2 linked regions of the Lepisosteus oculatus genome follow. The protein of the gene in region 2 interacts with the protein of the main gene of each other region in a biochemical or structural test. Links are inferred from orthologs where the notes say so. Each region holds a gene or a part of one and is shown on either strand. Other genes may lie near its edges.

The links.
Region 1: the proteins of mc4r (region 2) and pomca form a complex in vitro, tested with the Homo sapiens proteins (2 studies listed by BioGRID). The link is inferred for Lepisosteus oculatus from reciprocal best matches to the Homo sapiens genes MC4R and POMC.

Annotation. Positions count from the first base shown.
Region 1 is NC_090697.1:22,199,719-22,215,528, reverse strand, and holds pomca (proopiomelanocortin a), read right to left. Parts: upstream 6,943-15,810; 5' UTR 6,940-6,942; coding exon 6,781-6,939; intron 5,579-6,780; coding exon 4,919-5,578; 3' UTR 4,567-4,918; downstream 1-4,566.
Region 2 is NC_090701.1:6,388,698-6,404,344, reverse strand, and holds mc4r (melanocortin receptor 4), read right to left. Parts: upstream 6,215-15,647; 5' UTR 5,999-6,214; coding exon 4,997-5,998; 3' UTR 2,953-4,996; downstream 1-2,952.

The sequences.
Region 1 (15,810 bases), on a different chromosome or scaffold from region 2:
GGCACCAGTGTAAAGTACATAGAAATCATTTAAATCAAACAACACAAGGCACTTCTTTATTTTTAAGTGTTGTACAAGTATCAAACAAGGAACAAAGCCTTGTAGCTGAGGCCGATACCCTGGCCTCTTTCAAGAAATAGCTGGATAAGGTCCTGGGATTATTTAGCTTCTAAATACCAAATGATTTAAATGAGCCGAAAAGTCTCTTCTCATTTCTTACCTGTTCTTACATTTCTTAAACGTGTTGTCTCAGTTTAAATTTAAAAATAAAAATCTAAAGTTGAAGAAGAAGTGAGAAAACACTATAGGAAATGTGTCCTAGGAACAAGGTGTAATGTGTTTGAAATATATCTGAAAATAACAGAAATACAGTTCCAGGGAAACAACATTGACTTCAAGGTCAAGGTACAATAGTCACACACTTACCAATCACATACTGTATAACTCTTCAGTGCTAAAGTTAATGTAGAATTCCTCAGTGGCATCATTGTGTCAACAGATGAAGAGAAACACTTTTTTGATACATTTCTGTTTATATGTTTTTTATAGTTGAGAGATGATACACAATAAGATTTTGCCATTCTTCACTGAAAAACATCCATTGCAGTTCAGTGCTTCTTTTGACTATGTAATTTGCTTGGGCATAGAGATGTTGTTAGTTCTGTATTTAGAGGAGTATAACCAACATAGACAGTAAGATAACAGTATGATCTTGATACATTTAGGTAATGCTACCGTGATGAAAATATATAGTAACAGAACTGGATTTTGGTTTTACTTCGTATTATTTTTCTGAGGTCATATTTATTGGCTTTGTTGCAATAAATGTAAGAGATGCAAAACTAACTGTCATTCTATATATTTAAAAAAAACATAACATATTTTTATTACAAAGATACACTATGTTTTTATGTTTCCTTCTTTTGTCATTACGTCATTCCAAGTAGATATTATTGAGTAAGTTGTTGTCTTGTGCTGCAGCTCTCCAATGTGGAATTATTGACCCCTCTTGTGTTCAGTGTTTCATGGCAATGCTGTGTCTCTGTGTATTGCTTGTTCAGTTCCTTGGTGGTTACTGTTCTTTGTGAGACACTTGTACTGTGTTTGTCTATTAATGGTGGTGGAGTGTTGCCTTTTGATAAGAAATAAGCAAATGCCCAGTGTGCGACAACAGGTATGTTTTGCAGATAATTACTGTCTCCCGCTGATCGATGGAATTTCTGTTCATTGTGAATGAACATGATGTGTATTGTATTGGTGTTATATGAAGATGGGACACGTTAATGATTTTTAACCATCCACTTTAATGTGTGTTATATATGTCTTCAATGCTTAATGGAATTTTAAGTTTGAATCTTTTTTCTAAAAACAATCCTGTAGTTGGAAACCTCCATACAGTATGTTTGTATCCCACCGGCCACATACCGACAGGCTGTGCTGTGGGATTGTAGTGGAAAAAGAGGACACTATGTGTAGTCTTAATCGAGGCTAGTGGATTCATGGGTTAATGAATGGGGAGGTTGTTGCATAGATCCCAACTGAATACAAATTCTGAATTCTTGGGAACGAAAAGGTATAATTAAACGACAAATATTTTTTAAACAATTAAGTGTAAATGCCCTGCCCTTTGGTGTTCTCGTATCTCATGTGATCCCCTCTTCCTTATTATAATGAAAAAAATAATTGTGGAAAGCAGGTGATTGTGTTATAGACCTTTCCTGTGCTCTGTCAACTTGCCTGTACCTAAACCATTGTTCGGCTGCGCTGCAGTTTACAGGCTGAACATCAGCCAACACACTTTCTACTTCTTACGTGTGATTGCTGTTTGATCTCCTGTGCCAGATGGACCATAACTGTAAGAAACGTCTTTAGAAAATGTGAACCTGTTAAATACACATGCTGTAAAGAATAAAAATGATCCATGAATTAAAATGGTTTTTTTTGTGGAGACTGGTTTTTGGTCAGACACATACAGTATTTATTTCCTATAGCAAGTTCTCAGTTACAGCTCAGTTCAGTGTGTAATTTTCATGTGTTGACACTACTGTACTGTATATAGTGCCATGAAAAAGTATTTGCTCCTTGTCTGATTTTCTGTTTTACTGCATATTTTCCACAGTGAATGATAATAGATCTTCAAACAAAACCTTATATTAGATAAAAGGGACCCTGAGTGAACAAATAACTGTCACGGACGTCCAAAGGGACTAACTGTGGGGAGCAGGAGAGCGGAAAAAGACCCATATGCGTAGCGGCGAGACGGGAAAAAGGCCCGGGCTCATAGTGCAAAGAGTTCAGGAATGCCGTATAGAAACCTATGCCCTCAGGGAGCGGATGTGGGGCGCCCTGGTGCTAGGCGGGTCTCAGGACATCCGAACGTCAATGCTGAGCGAGGACAGAGTGCAAGACCCGGAAATATATAGCCCAAGGGAAAGAGAGGGACAGGAAGGACAGCAGAGCGGAAACTAGGGACAGGACAGAGAAGGAGCACCCTCTGGCTGCAGAGGGCGTGACAATAACACAACATTATTAATCTTTCATACTTAATTTTGTTTTAAAATTTTGCAACCCATTGGGACACAATTTTGTCCCACTCCTCCATGCAGAAGTTCAGCTCGGTGACATTTGTGGGTTTTCAAGAATGAACTGCTCTTTTTAGGTCCTGCTTCGACATCTCAAAGAGGTTTAGATCTTGCTGTTCCAAAACTCTTAAGTTTCTTGTTCTTCAACCATTCAAATGTAGGCTTGCTTGTGTGTTTCGAACTTGCTGCATGAGCCAGCGGCGCTTCTGCTTCAGTTCACGGACAGATTGACAATTGACATTCTGCTGTAGAATTCTCCGATCCAGAGCAGATTTCATTCTGATGGCAAAAGCCAAAGTTAGACAGATTTATATTGGACAGGGCTGGCCTAAATTAAGCCTAATTGTTGACCAAGGCTGACCCAAAGATGACTAGCGGACCCTAGTTATCCCCTTAATTGCGATGAGTTTACTTTGGGTGGGGGGACAATACTGTAGCTTTTCATACCTGAAGATAGCATGTTTGATTACCTTGCACACAAAACAAATAAAAGAAGTACAAACCTTTGGTGTCATTTTTTTCTCTCACGTTTTCCTCTGTACAGTATACTACTACAACCCACCAAAAGATTTTACTGAATTTTTCCCAATAACGTATTTAAATTACATATTGTGTTATTAGTTGTAGCTAAAGTGCCTTGCAAAAGGATTCACTCCCTTTCAATGATTTCTTATTTTGTTGAATTATAATTGTATATACCTGTACACATTTGTCTGAAGAGAATATTTTTAATTTTGATTATTTTTTCACATCTTGAATTGGTTGAGAGTCATTGATGGGCAGCAATTTTCAAGTCTTAACATAATTTCCTATTGGACTCAAGTCAGAATTGTGACTGAATCCAATGGCCCCACTCAAGGACATTTACTTTTTCATGCTTAAAACCAGTCCAATGTATTTTTGCAGTTTGCAGTTGTGCTTTGGATCTTTATTCTGCAGCCTGAACCAGAATTTATTTTAATATTTGCTTTTACTTTGATCCTTCAATTTTCCACTCAATCTTGACAATCTTCCCAGTCTCTGCTAATGAGATTCAGTCCTATAACATCATATTTTCACCACCCTGCTTGGCGTAAGAGTGCTATTGACTGGGTGATGTGCTGTGGTGCATTTGCACCAGACATAACACCTTGCATTTAAACCAAAACGTGCCACTTCTGTTTCATGTGACTACAAAACGTTTTGTCAGATCTTTTAAGTATCACATAAATGCTCTGTTACAAACTCCCTGAGTTTTTGTACCTTATAGAAGTGTGATGTATTTTTACCTCATAGAGATATGTTTTTTATTTTGAAATCATGTGAAGAACCATTATTGTATATAGAGACCATTTTACTGTGTTTTGTCAATTTTGTGTGCCTAAACTAATTTAGGTACTGTAGGAGGGTTGTTTAGTTTTTGACCCATAGCTGTTTAGTTTGAGCCTAGCTTCTGGAATAATTGTTAACTGTACATATTTAGTATCAGTATATTACATTTTACAGGCATACATGTATATACTTTTGAAAAATTATTTGTGTTTAGGAAACTAAAACTTTTTTTTTGCACTGGGAGAAAGGTTGTCATATTACTAGAAGATACAGGAACTGATATAGAAACGTTGACTGAATCTTGTAGTTTGCCTTCACTGACTATCTGTCCATCTCTGTCAGCAGGTTTATTTCTTTAGGTTAGCTGTTCATCACATCTTTCCTAAAACCTTGTTCTTTTTGAGTCAGCATGACCTTAGTCTATGCTGCTTCATTAAATAGTGTAAAACAAATTCCATGAATCATGGTGATGATTAATTCTTTAGAGCTGAGAATATGTTGTGCCATCGTTCTCTTTCTCATTTCCTTCTCTGGTTATCTCTATTAGTTTATTGTTGATAGTTTTTAAAGTATGGGAAGTATAGCTTTTCTAATTATTCAGTACATTTTTGAAGAAACCTATGGCTAAGTACTTTCACAGACCGTAAACACCAAAGAAAGAAAAGGAGAACTCTTTTTAGCTTGCAAAAAGTATTTTGTTTAATTTACATTATAGTACATCTCAATAAATATGAAAAATAACTTTCCACTATTAATTTAAAGTTGAATTTCTCTCCCTCCCCTCCCTTTTCCCAGCTCTAACTCGCAAAAGCATTTATTTTCTATTTACAGTTTTCAGAATTTATGGGCGACTACATTGTAAACAAGGGCTTTGGCAGCAGAGAAAACAAACATACAACGGAGCTACCTTTCAGGACTGAGCCTCTTTCTTTACCAGAATGCCAACTACCTAAAATTTTGCTTTGCCAAGATCAAGGAGGAAGTAAAGCGAGGTTTGGGGCTATTTTATTGCTTCTCCACACTCCTTACTGGCCTTTTTTCTGATGGCCGTCCTTAATGATGACGTTCTTAAAGAGCGTCAGGAGTGGCTTCTGGCTGCGCTCGTCCCAGGACTTCATGAAGCCCCCGTACCGCTTGTCCTTGGGCGGGCCGCTCCAGCGGAAGTGGTGCATTTTGTAGGAGCCATCTTTCTTCTCCTGCAGGTTGAGGACCTCGTTCTCTCCTCCGAGCTCCTCCTCCACTTCTTCGAGGAGGGGGTAGTCAAGGTCGCTCATGAGGTCGCGCCGCATCTCTGTGGGATAGGCCTCGGCCGATTCCTCTTCCACCCCGTTGGGGTACACCTTCACAGGCCGGCGCTTGCGGCCCACCGGCTTCCCCCAGCGGAAGTGCTCCATGGAATAGGAGCGCTTGTCCTCGCGCCTCTGCTGCTGCGAGCTCTCACTCTCCTCCATCTCTTCCTCGGCCTGGGGTGGAGCCAGGGCGGCAAAGAGGATGCTCAGAGCCGCGTTCTCTCCGGCTTGCTTGCTGCTTCCCACAGAGCCGTTGGTGCGCCGCCCCAAGGCAGTCGAGCGGAAGTGACTCTTCGCGTAGTTGCGGTCAGCCTCTGAAGGAGGCTGGAGGTGCCCATTCCCAGGAAAAATGGGAGATTCTGCGGTGAGGTCCGATTTGCAGGCTTGTATACACTCCTGGAAAGCAAGAACATCATTGTAAAGATTTTTGTAAATTCTCAGATACAGAACCTGCCCATATTCCGTATGTCAAATTAAGGCCATACAATAGACCCACTTTTTATCAGACTAATAGGGGGAAAGGGGTGTCTGGTATTGCCGGATATAGATTAAGTTATCAATGAAATATTTCAAGCATACAAAACACAGTCGTAGATGTGAAAAAAAATTAAGTCTGAAGTAATCCAATTTGTTTTGGAATGGTGGTAGACTACCAGAAGCTCATTCAGTATATCCTCGGCCTCCTTTACATGCCGACAGCTATGGATATCAACCTGTGTAAGCTGCCAGCATTTGCACACAGTAATGTTGAGATCCTTTCCTTGCTGACTATGCGTTCTGTGTAGACGTCGCATGCTTGTGTGCCTGGGCATCGTCCAGGAGTGAACGCCAGAAGAGACCAGTCTCGTCGGCATTGCATAGCTGGGAGAATACGATCCCTTCGTCTTGGATTAATTTATTGAATTTCGGATGGAACGGTTCTATCCTTTAAGTGGAGCGGTCAAAGCATATCTGTGGGTTCTTTTATTCAATCTAGAGGGAAGTTGACAAATCGTCAAAGCCCTCATTCACTGCATTTGAAATTCAGTTTCATGTGTTCAGCCAGTGTATTGGCTGTAGATCGTAATTCAACACCACAGATAACCTTGTTTGGAAAAAAAAACCCTAAACTAGATTTTGTCTGTTAAATTCGGAGTCTGTTAAAGCGGAGCATTTACTGTAATAATTATTAATAATGGATGGCAGAGAGGCTGTTTTTGTATTTTAAAATTGATTAATGTAATGCAACAGTATTTATTATTTATAAAATAATTTAAGGCATGATGTTTATTTTTGTTTTAGTTCGCTGTGATGGTATTTTTTTTTAACAGCAGCTCTTAGCAAACTGAAATGCCTTTTAACATTGTCACAGAGGCAGCAGTAAATATTACAAATTTCAAGTCATTATACTATATTTTAAATTAGAACAAAAAAGTATCAGTAGAGTCTAACACAAGTTGTCTTCAATGGGCACCAATATGTTGTCACAACCAGGTATGCTGGACTCACAATTCACAATTCTTAATTACAACACATTTATGAAATACCTATTATCAACACTTTTGTGAGTCTACATGGTACCGAGTGTTGCATTTACATTAAAAGAAAGTTCTGCTCACCAAGATGTTTTCCTCCGAGCTGAGGTCTCTGCATTGAGAGTGTTCCCAACACTGGCTCTCGACCTGACTGCTGTAGAAGTACAGCAAGGCCAGAGAGTACACCCAGACTGAACGCAGCATCTTCAAACTGAAGGAATGGCCTGGAAAAATCACATACATACAGTATTTCTTAAATTCTTTTGGGATATGTATGGATCACTCTTAAAATAATAGCTTCCTGTGCCTCCCCATTTATTTGTTTGCTTTGCTGTATTTCTGTTTCCCCTTCTGAAACACTATTTATGCTGTTTTAGAAATAAGGAGTCCTTATGGCAGCAGAGCTGCTAACATAGGGACCCTGATCTCAAGCACTGTCTCACAAGTGATTCATATTTCTCACGTAAAGCACTTCCTCTTACCCATACCTACACAAACTATCAATTTTTTTAACCTTTTTCCATCTCTTTTCCTGGGGGTGCCAGTCCATCACAGGACAGACACACAGACACTCACACCTACCTCCAATTTTCCCTGAAGCCAAATAATCTACCAGTCTGTTTTTGGACTGTGGGAGGAAAACTGAGCATCCAAGGAAAACCCACGTGAACAATGGGGTAAACATACAAACTCCGGGATTGAACCCAGCCCAAAAAATTACGAGGCAGTAATGCTCATTACTGTGCACTGTTCCACCCTATGCAAACTAATAAACTGAAAAAAAGATGTAAAAAATAATGTATGTGTAAATTAAAAATATTTTAAAACTATTAGACATCAAAACTGTGGCTTATTTCTACAGAGGAATTTGCCAGACAGATAATTATGTGTGCCTTAAAGTTGTATAGGTCACTTACCTGTATTAGTTCAGTTAAAACAACTGTTTATACAACTATAGTTAAAACTACAATGGTATTTTGTATATTTGCATAGTCTGGGTGACATACAGTACTGTTTATATGTTTTCATCTTGTATACAATTTTGAATATTTACCCACAATTGCCATAGGGTTTGCACAGTTCTCCATGATACAATTTGTAAATAATGTCTAATAAAATTTCACACTGTTCATTTTCCACTATACCTTATAAATTAAAACTATAGGTTAATAAAATCCTGACAAATTTACCACTGTTGCTTATTTAATGTTCTTTAAAGAACACTTTTTAAGAGCAGCTATCCTTGTGTCTGAGCAGGAACAGTTGCTGTTGCTCAGAGTAAATAGATAACTATGATATACAAGCTGATATTTGCCTTTGCTGAGTTATGCATTACCATTTAAATGCTGTATCACTGATTGAAAGCACCAGCTACCTGCAAACTGCATCTAACCACTCTAAAATATTACTGCTTAGGTTTTATATGTTCTCCTTGCCTGCTTAGTTTTGTAGTGAACACACATACAATATCTTGTACTCTCTGTTGAAACTGTTGTAATTTCTTAAAATATATACCTATACTGTATTTAAGGTGAGTCACGTTGCTCTAATAATCTTGAAAGCTCATGTACATTACAGTAGAAATCTGATGTTTCTTCAGGTATTGCCTAAATCTGACAGATGATTGATTTTCCCAGATGTTTAACCTTTAAAAAAGATGTCAGGCTCTAAAAAAAGTATGTAATCATTTATTTTGGTTTCAAACACAGAATTGATTTTTTTAGGTTTAGGAAATAGCTTCTCAGCCAGTCAGTTATTATTCCACAATCATGGGACTTTCTTTTGTTTGCCACTTTGTTGTGCTTGTTTAACAAATTGAGAACTTAGCCTGCCTTGAATCACAAATTGCTGTGCAGCACAGGGGACATTGTGCATACTGTACCTGATTGGAGTACTGAAAGGCAAAAATAAAAGTACAAATATCACAAATTAAGTAAGGTAGCTTGGTTTTATAATTTAAGAGAGTCTCAGGCCCTTTAATGATGTCATTTTTCGCAAAGGAGAGGCTTGCAATGTAAAATACATGGTGAGAGTTTTTCTCATAGAGGAAGACAGACTTTGAGGTATTTGTTTTGGAAATACCATTTAATGTAAAAATATATATGTTACAAAACACAACTAGTCTTGCTTAAAATACAGTTAAACTATTCCACCTGAAGTGTATAGAAGGTGGATCATTAAAAAAAAAAATCTGCTATCAAAACTATGAATCAGTTGGCTGAATTATGACAAATACTGATTAATTAATTTTCAGCAGCTAATATTTCTATATACTGTAAAATCATGTGTGTACCATTTCTGTAATTTCATCTAATTTCCTAGTTGATGAAGTGACTATTATGAATTTAATTCTGAATTCTGAAGCAACTAAGCAACCCAACAAATGTGCCGTTCATCAAACAAAAAAGAAACACATTTAATGTTTTATTATTTGTAAATTGTTACATGCTGTAGCTTTTTTTTTTAACTTTTTGGCCCGCAAAGCCAATGTGATAAAAGTGTTTTGTCTCTGATTTATATATAAAAATCACACAGTAATGAATTAATCACAGAGGATAAAAATGCTAATAATCTTTGGAGTTCTAGTTAATAATTACCCCAATATTAAGCATGCACAAGTAGAAATTGCATGGGATCTGAGGGTAAAAATGTTGTTAAATCCAACAAAATTGAAAGGTGTCCTGGTGTGACAATCTGTAGAAAAATGTGTTATTATTCTACAGATATTTCGATTTGAAATAATGTCAAAAGTGAAGTGCTTGTAAAAGTGAAAATGTGATCCATACTTTTCCAATCTGAAATCTGTAAATCTACCAGAAAACTACAAATTAGTTTAATAAATCACCCTAAATCAGACCTAAATATCCTATTGATCAAAAATAACATTGTATTGTTTGTTAAATTTTAGTATTACAAAATTGACAAGCCATTTGATAGAAATAAAAAAATGAATATAATTGAAGAATACAGCATTGCTTACCTGCCTCTCAGTGTTTCGCTTCAGTCTGTCAGCACTCAACAGGTCTTCAGTCCTTCTCTGCAGGTATTCTTGTTATCTTCAAAGCAGGTTTTGTGTTCTTCTGACTGCTTCTTGCTCTGTCTCTAAGTCTGATCTCCTAAGCAGTTCCTTTTATACTCAACCCTTGCACAGCAACCTTTCATGGGCAATAGTTTACGAGGAGGGTTCCTTTTGTGTCTCTCTTAAGAGGGGAGGTGCTAATGTAAAGTTCACAAATGTGAAATCTGTGGCCGAAAAAAGCCTCTATATTTCCGGAACACATTTAACGTCACTGCTAATAGAGAAAAGGATTGTCAAGTGAGTTCTACTTCTCAAGGATAGATATCCTTGATATTAGTTTCACATACTAATTAAATAGCATATGTGTGAATTTACTAGGTTTAATAGTGAAATCTATGCATTTTCAATCTAGCAACTTCATCACTAAGGTACTCTTTTGTTGCTGGTTTCATGGCAGAGGTGCTAGATGCACACTTTAATTAAACATGGTTTTAAGTTACATGGGATAATTGAAATGATGCACTGATGTATAAAGCCTGTAAAGGGCAGAGCAGGTTTTTTTTCTCTCTGAAAATTGATTATTTGGTTTAAAAAATGACTGACGTCTTGTAGCATTAGTCATTAGAACAACTCAATTCCCTGGCCAGTCTCTCCTGGGGTGACAAGTGGCGTTAAAACCGTGTGGTGTTTTTTTTGAGCTGGAACAATGCTTGTTGGGAGATAACAAATTAACGTAATATGTGAGCCCAAACCTACTTGTCCGAAGGTTCATTTTGCACTCTGTTCTCTATGATTTATTTTATTGATCTTTAACAAAATCTTTTATCTGCCATTCCTGTCTGGTCCAAATGAAAAAATAACCGCATCATGGTTTTGGAACTTAGTTTACAACTTTCTCTTTTATTAAAAATGTCCAGCTGTTTTCTGTCACAAACTTCTGTCCGGGTTATTTCTATAACCTTACTGTTCCATGGGCACTGGCAACCTTCATTCAGCATTTTAAGAAATGTCTTACTCACCGTGTCCAATTTCTGTGATGAATGGATACCTCTAGCCATGGCTAGTAGGATTTTGGCATGCTGGACAATTTTTTTAAACACAGTTATAACTAGAACAATACATGTTTAAAGATGCAGTTAATCATGTTTTTTGGGGTCTCATTTGTTTCTTATAATTGCATATAAACAATATGACAGTACCTGTTTTCTGAAGTGTCTGACAAACCTCTGATTACTGGTTTGTTGGGGAAGTGCAATGGTGGTGAGAAATTCATAGACAAATTAATGGAAACTTTGGACTATGGCTGAGGAAGTAAGCATATGTTTTTGGTAGAAAGTAAAGTCATTTCTGGAATGTGTTGCGGGTTACAATAATTGTGTTTTTGATATTATAATAATCAAAGAATGGAACAAAGCAATTGGTATTTATCAGTCAATCACCTTTGTGTTTTCTTAGTAGAGTACATTCCATTTTAGTGTTATGAATGTAAGGCATGAATAAAAATACCATTAGGACATTAGGAGGTAGGGTGGCCTGTCAGAAAGACCGGTGGTGACAATACCATCCTGGAAGCAGGAGGCTCAGGTAGCAACTTGGGATTTCATGCAAGAATGTACATTAGTTGGAGATCTCACGATAATGGAAAGGTGTTTACCTGGAGCCTTTGACAAGGGAAGGCTCCTAGTTTTTTCAGACACAGTCTTGTAAGTGCTAACAGAGAAGGCAGCACTGACAGAGAGGAAGAAGTTACCAAACCTTCATGCAGAGTATGCTAAGAGCACAGAATGGAATTTAAGGAACAGGCATGGAGATGAGTAGCCGATAAAAGAGCACAAACCTGACTGAGAAGTCGGGAAGGCAGGAGAGATTGAGAGGTGGATTCTTTTCCACCCCACAAACTTCCAAATAGATCAGGGGTTACAGAAAGAGCTCTCTTCCCCAAGAGGAGATGATAAATCTATTACTTTGGACTGGGGTTTTTAATTATAAGAGAAATCCAACCCCAGACAGAGACAAACTGGAGAAGCCCAGCGTGTCACGGAAGATTGGATATTTGGTTCTAGACCCTACATGACAAAATATCTGTGCTACAGGAGGCTTAGAGAAAGTGGGCCAGGATATACAGTTTCCCAGGCTTAATAAAACTCTGTATAGAGGAATTTGTCAACATAGGTAATTCAGTCAGGAGGCTCATGTAGTAACAATGGCATTTCTTGAAAGTTTGAAAATGTTTGAAAGTTTCAAGCTAATTGGAGAAGACTTATTTGGAACTGACTACAGGTACATAACCACTCAAAAGAAAGAAAGTCAGGCTGCTTTAAGTCTTAATATGGTCTAGGAAATACTAAAAGAGAAGACAAGCTGAAGGAGGGAAGCACTACCTGAAAAGAAAGAGCAGCCATGCCTTGGACCAGCACTGACAGAGGTGTAGGAGAGCCAGATTCATTGTACAAAATCAGCAGCATTGAGTTGTGCTGAGGGAACAGGAAAAAAAGTCTGTTGAGTGAAGCAACAGGGATTGCAAGAAGTGTATTTCCTGCTGAGTGAAAGACAGGCACGTAGAAAGAGTGAACTCCACAGGACAGGAGCTGAAAAGCAGACAAATCCCAAATAGCTCCCATTGAGAGTAATTCATATCTCACAACAAACCTGGTATCAACAGAACAGTATGTGAAAGAAAGTTATATTCCTTACAGGGGTTATTAAATACAAGAAAGAGCCAACCGCACGCAGAAAGAAATCAGAGAACCTCAGCATACAAGTGAAGGCTGGGTGTCTGGTTCTGGAGATGTTGCCATTCAATAATATGCCAAATGTGCCTTAGGGAAGGCGTATCAGTATGTAAAGTCTCTAGGCCTAAAAAAAAACCTTTCACGGAAGAAAATCCAACCAAAAGTCAGCTGAAACACCAAAAACATGAGGTGGTCTGTGAGCAGCAGGTTCTGGGCTTCTGGGGGAAGAACTTACTGTAAGTATGAGTGCTGGCAGGTGTGTACACACGGGCGAGCAGTGACTTTCCTACAGAAGAAAAGTTAATGGTTACAAATACTTAATTAATAGAGCACTCAATTTTGTTTATTAATCAAGGGTTTACTTTTTCCACAGTTAAACAATCCACATTGTTGAAAATGGTCTCATCTTCCTTCTTGGTAAATCCCCTCCTCGAAATACTAAATTTGTAGACTGAGACTCTGCTCAGGCTGTAGGAATTATACAACTGTATTTTTTTGTGCATGGAGGAAAAACACTAATAAATAATACGAAATACATTTGCATTATTGGATTATTTTAAAATATATAATCTCAGATCATTGTTAAAGCCTGTATACTTTATCAATACAGAATATCAGCTATACAAAATAGATCTTAGAGAAAATAAGTTAATAAGTTATGAGTGGATCAGGTAAGCAGCACATCAATGTAAAAACAAACTGTATTATTTTATTTAAACATTTACAGACATTGTAAAAATGTTGGTCTCTAAAAACCACTTGTTATCATGTTGTGTGCAGAGGATATATAGTATGTGCCTTTAGAATAAGTAAAGGTTTATTCCATGCTGAAATGAAATGAGCCTTCTTCAGATGTTGACTCCTGGAACAAACCTTTACTTGTTCCTTTGCAGCTCACGCATACTGACACAGCTACCTACTTGACCGCCTTTAGAATATAGACTTCACTCATGTTACAATAATATGCCAAATTGGATTAGCTGAATATTGTTAGTGTTGTTGTAGTAAATCCTTTTTTTAAATACCTTACAGTGACAAATAATAAGATAAAAGGACCATGGGCACAAAATATTTAGTTTTTTGGAATTCTTGGAAGTTTGCACATTTCTTTTGGAATTATTGAGCCAAATTGGTGCATTGAGACAGTTAAGGGAGTTAAGGGAGAGCATTTGGAATTTAGAAAAAGAACAGAAACTTTTCTGCATTTTTTTTTCTCTTCTAAAATAAAAATATCTAAACTTCAAGAACTCCAGTTTAGTTGAAGTCACAGATTTAAAAAATTGAGAAATTGAAACTTTTTTTGCAATTTGTATTGTTTTTATGTATTGAAAGATGCAGGTATACAGTAAATAGGACATTATGGTTATAATTAAAATGGTACATGAGATGCTTTGACACAAATAGCATAATTACCTTAAACCTAATTTCATATTTTATGTATAAAATTAGCGTTTTCAACATACAGTATGCTTTATGAAATACATGTCTTGCTTCTAATGGACAACTGTCATTTTTAAAAATCATAATCTGACAATTAATGTACAGTAGAATAAATACCTACAGTATATACTGATTTATATAATTTGAATATGTGATTAAACATTTACAAATCATTTGTAAATTAAGGTTTAAAAATTAACAATTAATATTTGCATTTGAATAATGATAATTTACCACAAAAATATGGTAAGGCCTGGGTTTATTAGGTATTAGGTATAGTGTGGGCTATTATTAATCAACTCGGCTAGGCTAACTCCTGTGTGGATGACCCTGTGTGGATGAATTCTGCAAATTCTGTGGAAAGAGTGAAATTTTTAAATTATTGCAAAAGATACAAGAACAAAGATGGCCAAACAAAAACCACATCTTCAAAATGCACAAAATAATTCAGAAGAGATTTCCACTGAATATTTCATTGATTTCCCTTTGTTGGTGTTGGACATGGTTGTTAGGAGTATAGTTTTGTTTATCTTAAGATGCTGACAGAAAAGATTTTACTGTAGAGGGATCAATTAATTTCTTAATAATGTCACATACAGTACATTACCTAGTGATACTATTCCTACTGATTGTAAATCCATATTCCATCATCATTCTGTGATGTATATAAAACATTTCTGCAAAATACTGTACAATTAATTGTAATTAATGATTACAACTATCATTAGGTCATCTCAGTTACTCATTTTGGAACCTACTAATATGTTGATAGCTCCAAGATCACTGTTGTAAAGATGAAACTAAAGTTTGTTGATGTACGTTTGTGTTAAAGAATGAGCAAAATACTTCCAGCAAGCTGCCAGGACACTGTTTTCACATTTGATAGAAGATTGCTCATATGGTGAAAGTGCCCTACCATTTACCTTGGTGAAACTGACTGCTGAAGTGAAATCTTCAGAAACAGACTGACTGTATCTACAAGCATGCCAGAGAGTTGAGGATTAAAGATCTCTCCAAACCAACAATCCCCACACTTTTCTTCACCTGACCATGACAATACCCACATTCCTGTTTGCATTCTTTCACAGAAATTCAAAGATGTCTGTAACAAGGAATATACTGGTATAGACCTGATCTTTTCGGAATAAAAGGACAGATGAAACCGAACCAATGTGGAATTGGCACCATATACAGTATTTTTGTCATGCTGGGCACTGTAAAAGTAACTTGTGCTGAATGACAGGTGGACCACTACAGAGTAATTAATGTACAGGAGTCTTGTACCACCTGGAGGCAATTTTCCACCACACCCACTTCAGGTGGTTCAAGATTACATAAAGTGTAATCTGGCAATTGTCCAGATTTTGTCATAGAGTATGCTGGATTTCCCCTTGTGCTGTGCTTCCATGTTTTCCTGCTTGAACCTCACTTGTTTTTGGATTTTACCCTGTGCTATGTTTGCCTGTTCCACACTTGCCTGTGTTCATCAACCTGTCTCTTTTGCTTGCTGTAAACAGTGTGTTGTTAGCTCACATAACCGCTTACCTGTTTGTTGTTTATCTGCCTGCATTTGGTTTTAAAGAACAAAAACTAAACTAACAAGCTAACATGTGTTGATTGCTACATATTAAGATCAATATTTGGTGAAAATACCTTTGGCACCAATTACTGTATATCTGCAGACTCTACCAAATTTGCACACAGGACAATGAAAAGGACCTCGAAACTTGTAATGACTGACTTGGTGCAATTCTTGGCAGATTTTCTCAAGCTCTGTCATGTTGCTTGTTTATCACTTATAGACGGCTGTTTTCAAGTCTTTCCAAAGACTCTCAATAAGATTGATGTCAGGACTTTCACAGGGCCGTTCAAGAACATTCACTTTCTTTGTTCTTTGAAGCCACTATACTTTAGCTTTGGCCT
Region 2 (15,647 bases):
TGTTATTCAAAATTAGTTAAATGTAATTGGACTTGGATTTCTGGTCCCTATATATAGTAAAGATAATTTTATTTCTTAACGGGAGGTGTATTGATTTGAAAGGGCAGTGTGAAAAATATTTTAAATGAATCTCTCTTATGGGCAACTGTGAATATTGGAAGTATGATTACTTTAACTTATTGCTATTTCCAATATTACATACTAATTATTCCCACTGATAGGACCATTGTTAAAATGATTAATTGTCATATTCATTTTTATTTTGAAACATATGTTTTTAATGTTTCCTGTTGTATTCTCATTATTTTTCCTTGTTGCATTACCGTTTGGAATAAATGTCTCAGAAAAATAACTACTGAAAAGATCAAAGTACACGCAAGCTGTTTCAACTGCAGAGAAATAAATATATATATATATGGAAAAGGATTTAACACATCTGGAACATAAATGACAGTTCAGCCACAAGCTAGACAGGGACCAGCTGGTAAAGTGTAGATAGTATAAGCTCAAAGTAAAATTCTTAAAAAATCAAGTGATACACTTGGACTTCTCACAACTAGTATATTTATTGACGGCCTCCATCCAAGGCATTGTATTATTTTCACCCAAATGTCACATTTATAAATAGTTCAAAATGTTTTTTTACTGATAATGCTCAAAACAAGAAAATTACATACATTTTCTTCTACAGCAATACATTTTTGCAAGTATCCTATCCAAAGACATAAGAAAATACTATTAGAAGAACCTGTAACTTGTGACTCAGTGCTCTTTTTCTGCATACAGACATCTTATGAGAATGAGACCCTTTCTCCCATATAAATGTGTGTATATATATATATGTTCTTTCTTTGCTGTGCAGTACTGTATGATTTTATCTGAAACCCCATGCTTAATGAGAAAGGTATACATTTAAGATGTTTTCCCATCCCTTTTGCGAAATGGTATGTAAACACTTGAAATTTTTTAATACCAATTGTTTCTGAAATTTTTCACAGAAAATACTTTGCAGAAACTTGTCTTTCTTTGCTGCAGGATGCTGAAAGACTCATTTTGCTGCAGCAGGAGAGTTTTTGTCAATAACCAGGTTTACCTTACACTCAGTTTTGTTACAGTGAGTTGTCTGAAGCATGGAAACCTTTTTAGTTTAGCTTTAATTTCAGAAAGCAGTAAAACCTGACAGGTTATTTAGTTCTAAGTGCGCAGTTCAGAGATTTGAAGGTCTGAAACCTAACCCCATTTTGTCCAGGTTTATTTAAAAAGGACTATTGTTTTATAAAAAAAAAACATACACATCTATCTTTGCATTAAGAATGAAACATTTGTATATCAATTTATAAAAAGGTTGGAAAATAAACAATGCAATAAATTAGCAAATTGCCTGCGCTTACTAGCCGCATCGCAAAGCCAGTTTTCCCAATTGATAATATGGTTTACTAAAGTTCCAACTGAAAGAGGCAGGACAGGGTCACTTCAGATGTTTTTTTTTCATTTAGCTGTTTAATGCTTGGTAAAGTACTGAAGATTGGTATGTGTAGTTCTCCTGAGTAGCTACAAAGAAGGAATATATAGATGTACATCAACATAAATTTACAGTAGTTGTGATTTTGTTCATAACATCCCTGTTCATGTACAGTAAGGCAGTGTCCCAATTTTGCACTGTGTCCTAAACCCTTCCTCCAAGTCCGCACTTCAATGACGTTGTGCCAGTGTGGACTTCAAGTTAGTGAGAGTTCGAAGGGGCACCATTATTAAGAGCAATAAGGCACCCTTTTGTGACTTATCACTCGTTAATCGGGTCAAGGTCAAAATGCTGCCTGTTGTTGATGCTTCATTCCCAAAGGCTGAGTGCAGCGGATACACTTCTTAAATTTCATTCTCTCGCAGTTGGGTACAAGTGATGTCATCTCATCTATTCCTGCACAGAAGTAGTGACACGTTGTGCTCATGTTGTTAAGGCTCGACTCAAAACAGGCGAAGTATACTAAGGAAACCTTACAAATATTGCTCTCTTTATTCAAAGCTTTGTATTGCTAAATGTGTTTAATCTCGTCTGTTCCAATACAAAAATGACAGGAACAAAAATGATGAGGAACCCGTTCATTCAAAGCAAGCTCAAAGCTTTGTACTTTTAAATACTGTATGTGTACTGTTAAATACTCAGTGTACCAAATACACTGGAGGTAAACGAATATTCATCATTCGAAGTTGGGTGATGTAATTAAAGCTTTTGTCAAAATGTTGTCCTAGAATACACACAGAACAAATATAAAATATTCTATTTTTTTCATAAAATAGTACGCTTCTAAAAACTGTAAAGAGTTCAATTTTACTAACACGTGAATATTTTATTTTCCATGGAAACGTCTCTACGCTTTCCTAGGCTAGAACATGAATTGTTGCCATTCTGCAGGGAATTCGGGGTAGTTCCCTTCAGGACGCACTGGGGACGCTGCTGAGCACCCCTGGGAAACAGATCTAGAAATGGGGCACCCTGATCCCTTGCGGACTTGAACGAGAACGCTCAAATGAAGGGTGCAAGACCAGTTATGTACATATTGGGACACGGCCTAACTCTGGTCCAATTTTGGGTACTTGAACATGCTAAGGAGCCAATTTCTCTGACTTCACAAATGCTGCACAGGGTGTCTAGACTTAGCTGCAACCTACAGGCAAAGAATAAATGGTAAAAGTGAGTGGCTAAAGTTTTTTTTTTTTACCCTTGACTTTATTTGTGAAAGATTAGAACTACCCTTACTGAATTGCAGTGCAAATGTTTTCTAAATGTGCAATTCTGAAAGAATTGCAATCAATACATAATATAAAGTAAAATTCACTTATAGAATAGGTTGTAATGTATTAAGTACTAATCATTTATTGTATTTTATGTATACTTATGGTTTTTCGGTCCTGTGAATTTTTTATATAGTAAAGTGTGTGTTTACACTTGTTTAAATAATGAGGCTGCATAAAATTGAGACAGTTTTATTAGTTTGCATGAATACACTTTAGTCTTCATATCACTTTTCATAAAGGATCTATTTACTTTAGTCAAAAGCTGCGAACACATTTGAATAGGGACTAGTCAGTTTTACTCTTTGTAACATTAATGACAGTCATTCGCTACACTCATAAGTTGATAACCTAGAGTAAGACACACTTTGATTTTTTCCATTCAGTTCAAACAAAATACCGCCCCCATTTTAATGTGTCCCTGCACTTGATACAGTATGGCTCTTTTGTAAACATAATAAGAGACATAGAGCACTTCTTTCACAGTTTGGTCTCCATTCAATGTAATGTCCCCTGAATTCCTCAACATATTTCTGTCCTGATTCACAGTGTGTGCCGATTCAAGCATCACAGGCGACAGGTTGTCCAAGAGTAAAGGAAACCTTGACATTCAACATTTTGTCAAAACAAAATGTGCATTCTAAAGTTATGGCAAAGCCACAGCAGAGAATTAAGCACTTTTTCACAAGGTACTTACTGATGATCAGCATAAAATATATGCTTTTGATGTGAGAATGTTTTTCTTTTCAGTATTTTTAGTTAGGGAATTTCATTCAAGAGTTTGTGGGGAGCATTTTTGGACAGATGGCTGCTGTTGCATAGAAAGTGGTTAAACACCCCACAACAGACTGTTAAAAAAAAATAATCAGATGTACTGAATGTCAGTTCAATCAGAATAGTGTTAATGTTAAAAGGTCAAACCTGATACCAACTTTAAAATGTTTTGCATTTTTAATGTTAGTTTTCATAATGAAATAGATTTAAACCTTGATCTGCATTTTGTCTGCAAACGTTCTGCAATTTTATATTGATCTAAGAAATGTGTCTAAGTATTACAATGTACAGTGCTGATTCATTCATCAGTACAATATGTTAATGAAATGGTGGATAATCAGAATAATGGGTGCATATGGAATTACCAAAAAATAATTTAAATAACTGCAATCTGAAACAACCCAGCATTTGTTTCGATGTAGAGTTGGTAAATGGCTTTGGCAAAAAGTACTATATTTTTCAGGAAAAAAACATATTAAGATGTTAAACCAAATAAAACAAATTAATGCATAAAATCTATGGTATCTGTCTATTTCTATAGTTCTCAATTTTTACTTCATCTTGGGGGGAAGGGCTTAAACACATTATGATTTCACAGCAGACAGCACTGCACTAAAACAGGACAATGATTGGAGGGAAAAAACATACTGAAGCACAATTAAAAACTTTATAAATAACACTAAATATACACACCAATTAAAGCTGTTTTTCATAAAATTCAATATTGCACATTTAAAATGATGTCTTAATGTATGTACATATATCCCATGACACTGTATGGTATAAAGCGGTTTGGCAAATGACATGACATACATATACTGGATATGTACAGTCACATAGATTAAATAATGTAACGATATATTAAAAAGGCATATGCTGTTGTAGTACTTAGTTAACCAGGCTGTTTAATTTTAGGACTTAATGGATAAACTTTATATTCAGTCAAAAGCAGATTTTATGACCGTCTCTACAAATGTTCTCTCCACAGCAGAGAAAAAACAAATATTTGTAGAATGTTACAACATGATTAGGTATTTATTTGCCCAGTCTGCTGCTCAAACCCTACTGTTTAAATGCGTCATGCAAGAAATCAGGTACATTAAAAAGGCATTGCTTGTCTGTTTCTTTCTGAGAGTTTTGTTTGCCAAGAGCAAAGGAAATATATTTTCTACAACCTCATGAGAAAACAAGTGATTATCAGCAGAAAGCAGTTTGCAAAAAGCAAAAAGCAGTACTTTTGTACTTGATTTTTAAATCTGTACTTTTTTTAAGCTTTTCTTAAAAGAAACCATGGATTTCTCTAAAAGTTGTATTGTCATTCATATGAAGTCATGGTTACAATTGTGCATTATTTTTAATGGGTTAGCATTACCATTTACTGAGTTACCAAGAGTTTCTGAGGAATGATTAGTTGTGCTTTTTTAGGTCTTTAGTATTTGCTGGGCAGTTCACAAACGCAAAACCCAGGCAAGCCATACCAGCAGAAGATCTCCTTGAATGTCTTCCGCATCTCCTGACTGCGGAATGCATATATGAGTGGGTCAATCACCGAGTTGCACATTATCAGGATGAGGTACATGTTGAAATGAGACATGAAACAGACACAATAGGGGTTGCGGGGACAGGCGATCATGAGGATCAGATGGAGAAAGAATGGTGCCCAACAAACAACAAAAACACCAAGCAAGATGGTCAATGTAATTGCTCCTTTCATGTTTGCACCCTGGTGGATTGTGCCATTGCCTGGCAGGGCAGCAATTCTCTTCATGTGCAACCGCGCCAACATGAACATGTGCACATAAAGCGAGGCCATGAGTGCAAGCATGGTAAAAAACATGGTAATAAGGCAAATGATGACAGTAGTGCTTTCAGAATAAATGATGAAGAGAATTCCAGAGATGGTGCAGAATGCCCAGATTGTTGTGATGATCATCATGGCTCTCCTCATTGTCATGATGTTGTGGTAACGCAGGGCATAGAAGATTGTGATGTATCGATCAATCGCAATCGCCAGCAAACTACAGATGGAGGCCAGGAGAGAGCTGCAAATCATAGAGTCAAACACGTTGTCCATGTTTTTGATCAAATTGTCCTGGATGGTCAAGTGTCCGCTGGTGATAAGGGCCATCACAATGGTTTCCCATGCATTGGAGACGCTCACCAGCATGTCAGCCACCGCCAGGCTGCAGATGAAGAAGTACATTGGGGAGTGGAGGTTCTTGTTCTTTATGATTGCTGCAATAACCAGAATGTTCTCCAAAAGGCTTACAATTCCAAGGGTTAAAAACACCTCTGTGGAGATCAAAAGCTGCTCATAACATCCTGAAGAGGAGTCCTTTTCATTTGAGTCATTGTTGACAGTAAATGCACCTGAGCTGAAGTTCCTAGAATGATAGTTGTGTATCAGTCCGTGGTGGTGTGTAGTGTTCATCTTGTGGATAGTGAGCCCAGTGTTACTCAGAACATTTTCATTATGTATTCCCTTAAATCTGTGATGAGGATAGCATTCCTTACATACCCTGTGCACAACTGAGTTTTCTTAGAAATTGCATCTTGCACATTGAGCAACTCAGCAGTCTTACTGTATCCAGAAACATATATTTGGCAGCATTTCAAAGGGTAAAACACGAGTGTACTTACTGGATCACGGTGAAAACCTCCCACTTGCCAACTTTTAGCTCTTGGAAGCAGCTTCATATTTTCATGACATTTGTTAATTCACAGCTTCAGCCTTCTCTACACGTTTAATTCCTCAGCTGGTTTCACAGAGGGGGGAAAAAAGGTAGCAAGCAAAGTAACATTTGAAGTGGTCGTTGTAATGTGCTAATCCTCCACTGTCAATGAAGCACACAGTAAGCGTACCATCCTTTGGCAAGCTAAAGCTACATCTAGCTGTTTTATAATAGTCTACATTGCACTGTCTGGTCTGCCTCCTCCCACTGCTTCTTTGTCAGCCAATAAAAATTCAAGTTGACAAAGGAGAAGAAAGCTGAAGCTGAAGCCTTTTTTGTATGGGGAGGGGGTCTAATAGAGTAACTCATCTAAATTATGATTTAATTTTAAACTCCATTTATTCTTTAAATGTGATTTTCTTCAAGTTTGTTTTACTAAGAGCTCCAGTTGTAAATTCTGAAGATTATTTTTTGAATCCTGAAAGTTAACTGCACTGTAATTTTATGGATCACGTGTGTAGTTCACATGGTTTACAATTATGCAAAAAATAAATAGCTAAATTGTTAGATGCTTATGTTTTTAGGGATGCAACATTAACAATATGGGTTGTTTTAGTCAGTTTTAAAAAATCAATTTCCAAAAACAGCAAGTTTTGAAATTTGTTCAATTTGAGTTTTCAATCCATATAATGTGGAAAAGGTGACTACTAAATACTATATATTTCCCTTAACTTCTTTAGCATAATATTAAACTTAAATAGATTACAAAAAGGAAAGTAAGAAGTGGTAGAGACTTAATAAAACCTCTGTTCTCACACAACAAAACTGGATGAATAATTTTAAAAAAATAAGCAATTATTGGATAAAGCAGACAGTGATGATTTTTCTCCAAAATGGAGTTTAGTTATTCAGCTAAATACAAATCTGTCATTTATATTTTTCCAATTTCTTTATAAAACAGAATTTCAAAAGATTGAACAATGAATTCTTCAGAAAAGATGTAGAAATCTTATCTAACAGTGGAAACATTTGTACATATTGCTTATCTACCCCAAAAGAATGCACTGTTTTGGAAACATTTTCTAGATTGGTGCTCAGTGAAAGGATTGCATGTGTCATAGTGTCATTGCCTTGCGTCTCCTTGTCTTACTCAAAACCGGTCTCTTCCAACACTTCTGTATCGATGGAGGGTAAACAGAGATCAAAAGTCTGCTGTTCAAGGTAGTGATGAATACAGCTCTGACTCAGCCAATAAAACAAAATGTTCAAATTTATTGAAGTAAATTAAATGCATCGTGCTGTTACCTCTGGGTAACTCCTCATCTCTAGGATCTACAGTACACACTTAGCAGTCCCTCAAACACTTAATGGTTAATCTCTCTCCTACCCAGAAGTTAAAGCATGAGCTCCCTACTGCCTTTTCTTGCAACACAGGCTTATCACTATTACTCAGTGATGCTGGATTTGACCACCTGGATGTACTGTACTATAAGGGTTTCACTCACAAAACAGATTTGATGGAATTTTACTCTGAGTGTGTGTAAAATGTTTTTTTTGCTTGCATTATATGCAGCTGATTTCCAAAAGCTCCAATAGTAATGTGGATATTTCAATAGCCACTTCACAAAACTTTAATATCTTAAGAATCTAAAGACAATTAACATCTAACAATTAAAATCACAGAAATTTCAAATCTCCAGAAAGAAACAAATGCAGAATCAGTATTGTATTACAGTTAAGCATTTACTCACTTGAAGACCATTCAGAAAGTTTTTGGTGATTGATTGTTGAAACTATAGCCTTGTCCATCGTCAGCTGCAAAAAAGGGAGCAGCAAAACTTTATTAATCCAGATGTGAAAATGTCATACAACATCAATTAATGTGTTCAATAATATTTCTTCAGTTATTTTCTTCCAACCTAATTCTGCTAATTATCCTGAAAGCATCTTTATACTTTATACTGTACTGAAATGATCCCCAGTGCGGTGTTGTATTATGAACTTTTAAGTCTTATGTGTAGTTTCCCTGAACATACAGTAAGAAAATATACAAATGGGAGAGGGATATTCTAGCTCTGGTTTTGTTTGGTTATATTAACAAATAATTGAGGATCTCATCAAATTTCCTGCAATAAACCTAGGTATTTGCTTTGATAACTTGCAGTGGAAAAATGTTAAATAGACTTGTAGATTAATTACAAAACAATTGCAAATATTACAAAATTCTGAAAATGCTTCTAAAGCTTTAAGCTGCATAGTATTTCTATATAAAGGATGCAGTGTAACTGCAAATATTGTAATGTTGCAAAAATACATTTGAATTAACTGAAAGGGGAATTTTCAGCTCGGGTTGTGCACATTCATTCAAGCCTTACAGTGTGTGCAGATATTAGACTTCGTAATGCCACATGAAAATGAATTTCACAATTACGTGGCACTATCTGTAAATAAGTGACAAGCTATCACGGACTAAGGCAGCTGTTCCAGAATCTTGGCTAGGTAGATCAAAAATACTTTTATTCTATTGCACATCTGGGGAACTGATGCCAAGTGTATCTGGTTCCTAATTGGAAACTTCCTCTAAAGAAGCTCTCCAGCGTAGAGATTATCCAACATAATTGGCCCACACAATCGGTTAACTTTTATTCAGGCCTTCTGAAACAGGCTGACAGGAAAGACAGTCACTCAAAGCCAATTCAGTGTAAAAAAACAATAAACAAGTTCATTTTTTACAAAGTACTTTCAGACACTGAGACAAAAGATCTCCAGTGTGGGCACTCACTAACACTGCAACAGATTTAGAAGTTCTTAAATATTTTTGGAATAAATAGGTGAAGATAAAACATAGATGGAATGTCATGCATAATTAAATAGTAGAGATCACAAAATCTTATTCTAATTTTATATATACAACAATGTGGAAATGTATTAGAATACCTTAAAAGAATCTGCCTGTGTGAACCTTGTATACAAAAATTGATTTTAAATCAATTTCTTGCAGATTGGTTGACAGGTATGCTACAACTGCAATGCTTAGCGAACAGATGGTAACTGTTTTGTAGTCAGCTTTAATACATTTTTCACAGGTGTAATTGTGACTAGCAAATTTATCATGATGTATAGCTAGTTTCATTTATGTACATTTAGAAAGGCTCGTCATAAAATGTAAAGTTCTTCTAGTATATGCATAGCTTTTTTAAAGGTGTGCTGAGATCATGCACACTACTAAATGTGTGTGGGTATTTGTCGGGTGACTGCATATGGTTGTAATTTCATATCTACAGAACAGTAAATTTCATATCAATATGTAAAGATGCATCAGGAGGAAAAATCATCTAAAGATGCACTCCTTAGGTGGTAATACTGTATGTATTAGTAGTTCAGGTGGGTAGCTGCGTCAGCATGTGTAGGCTGCAAAGGAAAAAGTAATAGGTTTATTCCATACTGAAAAAAAGAAGAAAGAGCGGCTGTGGAGCCTTCTTCAGGTGTGAGAGAGACAGGGCAGTAGGCAAAGGTAAAGTAGCGGGAGAACAAAGGTTGGGAGGGAGGAGGAGTGAGAGGCGGGAGCAGGGGACAGAAAGAGAGGCCAATCAAGAGGTGTGAAGTCAGAATGGGTGCAGAGAGGTGTGAAATGAAACTTCCAATGAATGGAGAAAATACTGTATGTATTGTATATTCTTAACATGAGGTACTGTGTGTTTTGGAATGTAAGAATTTAGTTTTTGAAAGGCATTTTATCACTTAAAAACATCTAAGAGAAAACAATATACAGAGAACTTTAAACCCTAAAAGATTACATTTGGTTTTGCGTGATACTGTTTCCATGCTTGCGCAAGGACTAATCTAGCTATATTAAACTTTCACTTTCAGCTGAGAAATAAACTAAACTTACTAAACAGTGTGACAAGTTGACAAGACAAACAACAAACCTTGAAAATTACATTTAGAATGTTTTCTTAATCAGAGTATGTAAACAGTAATTTCGAAAAGCAAACTTTCCATTTAGTTTGTGATAAAGGCAATATGGGAATCTAAATTTTGCACTGCTTTTTTTCTACCAGAAATCTGTAGGCGATTGTCGTAGTAGTATGCAGTTTTTTTAAATAAAGCAAACACTGCATGTTGCAGTTCCAGCAACTGGCCACCAGAGGGCCACCCCAACCTCTAGTGCCTACTTCATCTGTACAGCAGAGGCGCAGAGCATGCAGATGGCAGTAGCCAATCCCTGCTTGCCAAGTGTCCCTACCTCACCACGCCTCCCCTCCCCAAACCTATTTAAACTGTACTTTGTACAGGCTGTGTTGAATATTGTTTTCAACTCTGAGCTCTTGGTTGAGACTTTCTTAAATTCTTCCTGGACTCCTTGCCTGACTTTTTGAATTTTGGCCTGTTTCCCGACCTTGGCTTTTGGATTGTGTTTCCCTTGCTTGATACTTAATTTGTCTTCTGGGTTCGGACTTTCGCTTGCCTCTTGACCCTGGCCTTGGATTTCCCTCCTTGACTGTTTTTAGCTTTTTGTGATATTGAAACCTGCATAGGGTCCATTCCTTGTTTTCTGAGCTGTGGACCAGCTTAATATTGCAGTAATCTATTTAATCTTTAGCTAAGTTTTTCTTCACTTTATATAGCCATATCTCTTATTTGTGCATGTAATTTTATGGTTTGGAGTGTGTGGCTACTCTGGGTGTGCTTTCGTGCTCGCTGCTTTGTTTTTCCCCCCAAAAATGATCTTGCTTGGCTTGTTATTCAGTTATTAGTGTGATTATGCCCAACACCTCCTCCATCCCCCCACAAACATGGCCGCCTACAGCTACAACCCCCGACGGCTGCTCACCCACCCATCCCCCACAGCTGCCACTCTCCAACACCTCCGCCATTAACACCTCCGGCACTGAAAGCACTATGAGCATCATCCCCCGGGCCAGGCTGACCATCACAGCTGACCAGGTGAAGAAGGAGCTGAAGAGGCTGCACGGCCACAGGACCAGATAACATCTGTCCCAGAGTTCTGAGGGCCTGTGCTGATCAGCTGAGCGGAGTGCTCCAGCGACTGTTCAACCTGAGCCTGCGCTTGGAGAGAGTCCCGGTGCTCTGGAAGACATCATGCCTGGTCCCGGTACCAAAGAAAGGGCGCCCCTCTGTCCTCAACGACTACAGACCAGTTGCACTGACTTCTCATATCATGAAGACACTGGAGAGGCTGGTCTTATCCCACCTGAGACCCATGGTCAGCTCATCACTGGACACCCTACAGTTTGCCTACCAGCCCAGTGTTGGTGTGGAGGATGCGATCATCTACATGCTGCAAAGGGCCTACTCACACCTGGACAGGGCTGGCAACACTGTAAGGATCATGTTTTTCGACTTCTCCAGTGCCTTCAATACCATCCAGCCCTTACTTCTAAGGAGGAAGCTGGAGGAGATGCAAGTCGATGCCTCCATGACCTCGTGGATCACTGACTACCTGACGGGCAGACCACAGTCTGTGAGACTTCAGAACTGCGTGTCTGAACTGGTAGTGAGTAACACAGGGGCACCTCAAGGGACAGTTCTTTCTCCATTCCTCTTCACCCTCTATACTTCGGACTTTAAGTACAACTCAAAGTCATGCCACCTGCAAAAGTTCTCAGATGACTCTGCAATTGTGGGATGTATCAAGGGTGAGCAGGAGGAGGAGTACAGAGGACTGGTCAGCAGCTTTGTGGAGTGGTGTGGGGTGAACCACTTGGAACTGAATGTTACAAAGACAAAGGAACTGGTGGTAGATTTCAGGAGGAAAAAGGTCAAACCTACTCCTGTCTACATCCATGGGAGTGGCGTGGAGATGGTGGACTCGTACAAGTACCTGGGAGTGCACATCGACGATAGACTGGAATGGTCTAAGAACATCGAGGCCATCTATAAGAACGGACAGAGCCGACTTTACTTCTTGAGGAGGCTCAGGTCCTTCAATGTGTGTAGTAAGATGCTACACATGTTTTATCAGTCGGTGGTAGCGAGTGCCATTTTCTACGCAGTGGTGTGCTGGGGCTTTGGGATTAGAGCAGTAGATTCCAAAAGGCTGAACAAGCTCATCAGGAGAGCGAGCTCTGTCATTGGGTCTGACCTGGACCCCTTGGAGGTAGTGGCTGAGAGGAGAATGATGTCCAAACTGGAGGCCATCATGGACAACTTCTCCCATCCCCTCTATGACAGGCTTGCAGGAATGAAGAGCACGTTCAGCAATAGACTGATTCATCCACGGTGCGACAGGGAGCGCTACAGGAGGTCATTCTTGCTGTCTGCCATAAGACTGTACAACGCATCCACCTTGCGTCTTGGCAGAGGCAACAGCGACAGTGACCTGTTTCTGGACTAAACGCATATACACATATACTGCTACATCTGTTCTCTTTCTTTTTCTTTTTCTTTTTCCCGTTTACAACCACTTTTGTGCAATATATGCCAGGGACCTGTGCAATACATTTATATTTATATTTATATCTATGGTTACATCTATATTTATATTCATACGTGTGATACGATTTTCTGTGTACTGTTCTGTTCTAGTTTCCTCTTGTGTGTCCGGACTGTGAGTAACTCTTGTATTGTATTGTATGTATTGTACTATTAGTATATAATTCGTTACACTGTGGCTGTGTTGTGTGTGTTAAGCTGCTGTTGCACTGCAATTTCCCTCACGGGATCAATAAAGTATCTATCTATCTATTAACTGACATTGAAAGAGTCACCTGCTTGTGATTAACATCTTAAAAAAATCTCTTGTTTCCCAATTAATCCAAACTTCTTAAATTGTACACTTAGAGTTGAATGTTAAACACTTGCTATCTACTGTTGTTATTTACTATTAAATGGTAATTGGCTTCTTTAGAAGTTTACAGTTTAATGTAATGCAATGTATTTACATGACAATGAAAAACAGAATATTGAATGAACCAATCATGCATTATGTATTAAACCCCAAGATGAGGCTGATTTGTTGCTGTTTGGATGATCTCTTTAAGCAGACTGTGATGACTTTGGTACAGATGCCTAGGGCTGTTTTGTTTTTTGATCTGGAAACACAAAACAATAACAAGCCAAAATAGAAGTTATGTGTTAAAACTAGATTGGGCTGATTTTATTTAATTACCAATGCATTTGAATTTACTTCATCTTCAAACTTAAGAAATCACTGATTTTAAAAAGAAACCCTTACCACATCCAGTAGAGAGACAAGTAACTGTAGCCCAAAACATCAAAGTGACTGATTTTGTTTAATCAGCAAAAATAAGAGCTCTGCCCCTCTTTAACCAGGACATTTTCGAACACATGGCATATTTAAAACTGCTATAAAGTGCCAGTGCTTTTTTAGTCTTTTAATGACCAGTTCACTGTCTCTTCCATTTATAATGTACTGGGTTTACAATAAAGGAACATTATATATGAATTGAAATTTGTCCTTGTGTAATGTTTTGGCAGCACCATGTGAAAAATTATAATCTTCCAACCTCTAATTCAAGTGTACTATACTGATGCTCAACAGACCACTTTATTAAACATTAAAGTAAATTAAAAATAAATCTGTACCAAGTGGGGAGGTTTTGGTGGGAAGGACCATCCACTACATTGTTGTGTGTCATCTCTGGGAAATTCTGAGTTTATGTACAGTAGATGCGTAATAACTTTAAGCACCATTACTGTCAGGGAAACAAGTATACTGTATAACTTCTTCCAGATTTCTGGAACAAACTGGGTTACATAGGTGTGCTTAAATATATTTGCAGGGTTGTAAGGGTGTGAAGGAATTCTGGGGGAAAGGTTTCATAGATGCGTTTATGGGTAAAATCTGCTATATCCATGCTTCATATGATTTATATATTTTGGTGTTTTGCGAAAACCTACAAGGAGAGGGAAAGGGACAGCTTCCTTTTAATTTAGCTTGACTAATTTGTATAAATATACAGAATAGATCCATCTGTTGAGCGAGGGATCTAAGAGCTCCTTCAAAAAGAGCCATCTGTAGAATAAAAAACTTAAATGACCTGGGGCTTACTTAGAACGATTACCTACATATACAGTATTCTGTGTGCTCTCTCCAGGCACAAATCTCGTTGTGATGGAGCTGTGAATTTAAATGGGTTGCCAAGTTAAGGATCCTTCACCTTCCGGTAAGCTTTCCAATTTGAATGGTATTTTGTCTTTATATATCCTTCAATTCAATTACTTGCTACTCTGGATTTTCCAGTTTAGTTGTGTGTGATAAGGATCTGTTGGTGACTGTTGCTCACCTCCGGCAGTTAAAATTAGGAACAAATTCCTGAATATCTGTAGTTTGGGCAGTGAAGTTCACAGGCACAATATGAGAGGTCTTCACTGTCCTCTCCACTTTCAGAAGTAGCACTTGCTGATCCATTGGTGGTTTTGTTAGAACTGCAGTGTAAGCAAGCTCTGCAGAGTCATACTCTATTCTTATTTAGAGAGGAATTTTTAGCGAAGAACCCAGTTTCTTCTATGTCCGTTCTATCTCTGAATCCACTTAAACAACTACATTTTAAAAAGTAAAAACGGTAGCAGAAGCTTCACTGACAGGCTGCCATATTGGAATACTGGTCAAATGATCTGTCCTGCTGTGACATGGACATTGTTACACCCTGCGTTGCATAACTTTACACTAGGACTCTGGAACCTTGTGGAGTAAACATTCTAGTTTGTCATCCTGATATTATTCTTAGTATTTCTGAGCAACAAATTACTTTTCGTTCTTCACAGCTGAATAAGGACCTCCAGACAAGCTGTCATGGGACACTTTTAAAATAACTTAAATTCTCCTTCTATTAAAGTCTACGCACATATATTTGATGTATATTAAAGTACTTCATGCGTGATAGGATTAGGTTTTTAATTTTTGTTTCTGTAATTGCAGAATATGCTGAAAAATACTTCAGTGTTTTTTTTTCCCACTCAAGCTCTCCAATATCCTCTCCGGAATATCCTAGTTAATGTAAATTGCTTTGTCTTCATCCTGCCAAGTAATTCTGCTGAGTTTTTTCGTTTTATGCTCTTCCCCCTTAAACCATGTATGTTTTATAAAGTAGGACAAGAAAACTGGAATAGAATGCTTATGTATTCTGCTCGAAGGTCAAGAATAGATTCTCAGACTTGTATAACAAATTTATCCTGTATGAAATAGACAGTAAATATTGTAATTGCCCTCAAGTACATAGGCATATTATGACATGCTTTTTCATAGGATTTTTCATTCATGCTGTTTTCTGGGGGTACACTAGTGACACTGATATGGATTATGATGTAGACATTGAACATTCTGTACCACTAAACCAATACAGGTCAGTAAACAATGAGATCATTGATTACTTGCTTGGGGTGCTCAGGTCACCTTCTGAGGGGCATATGCCTTATGTAATT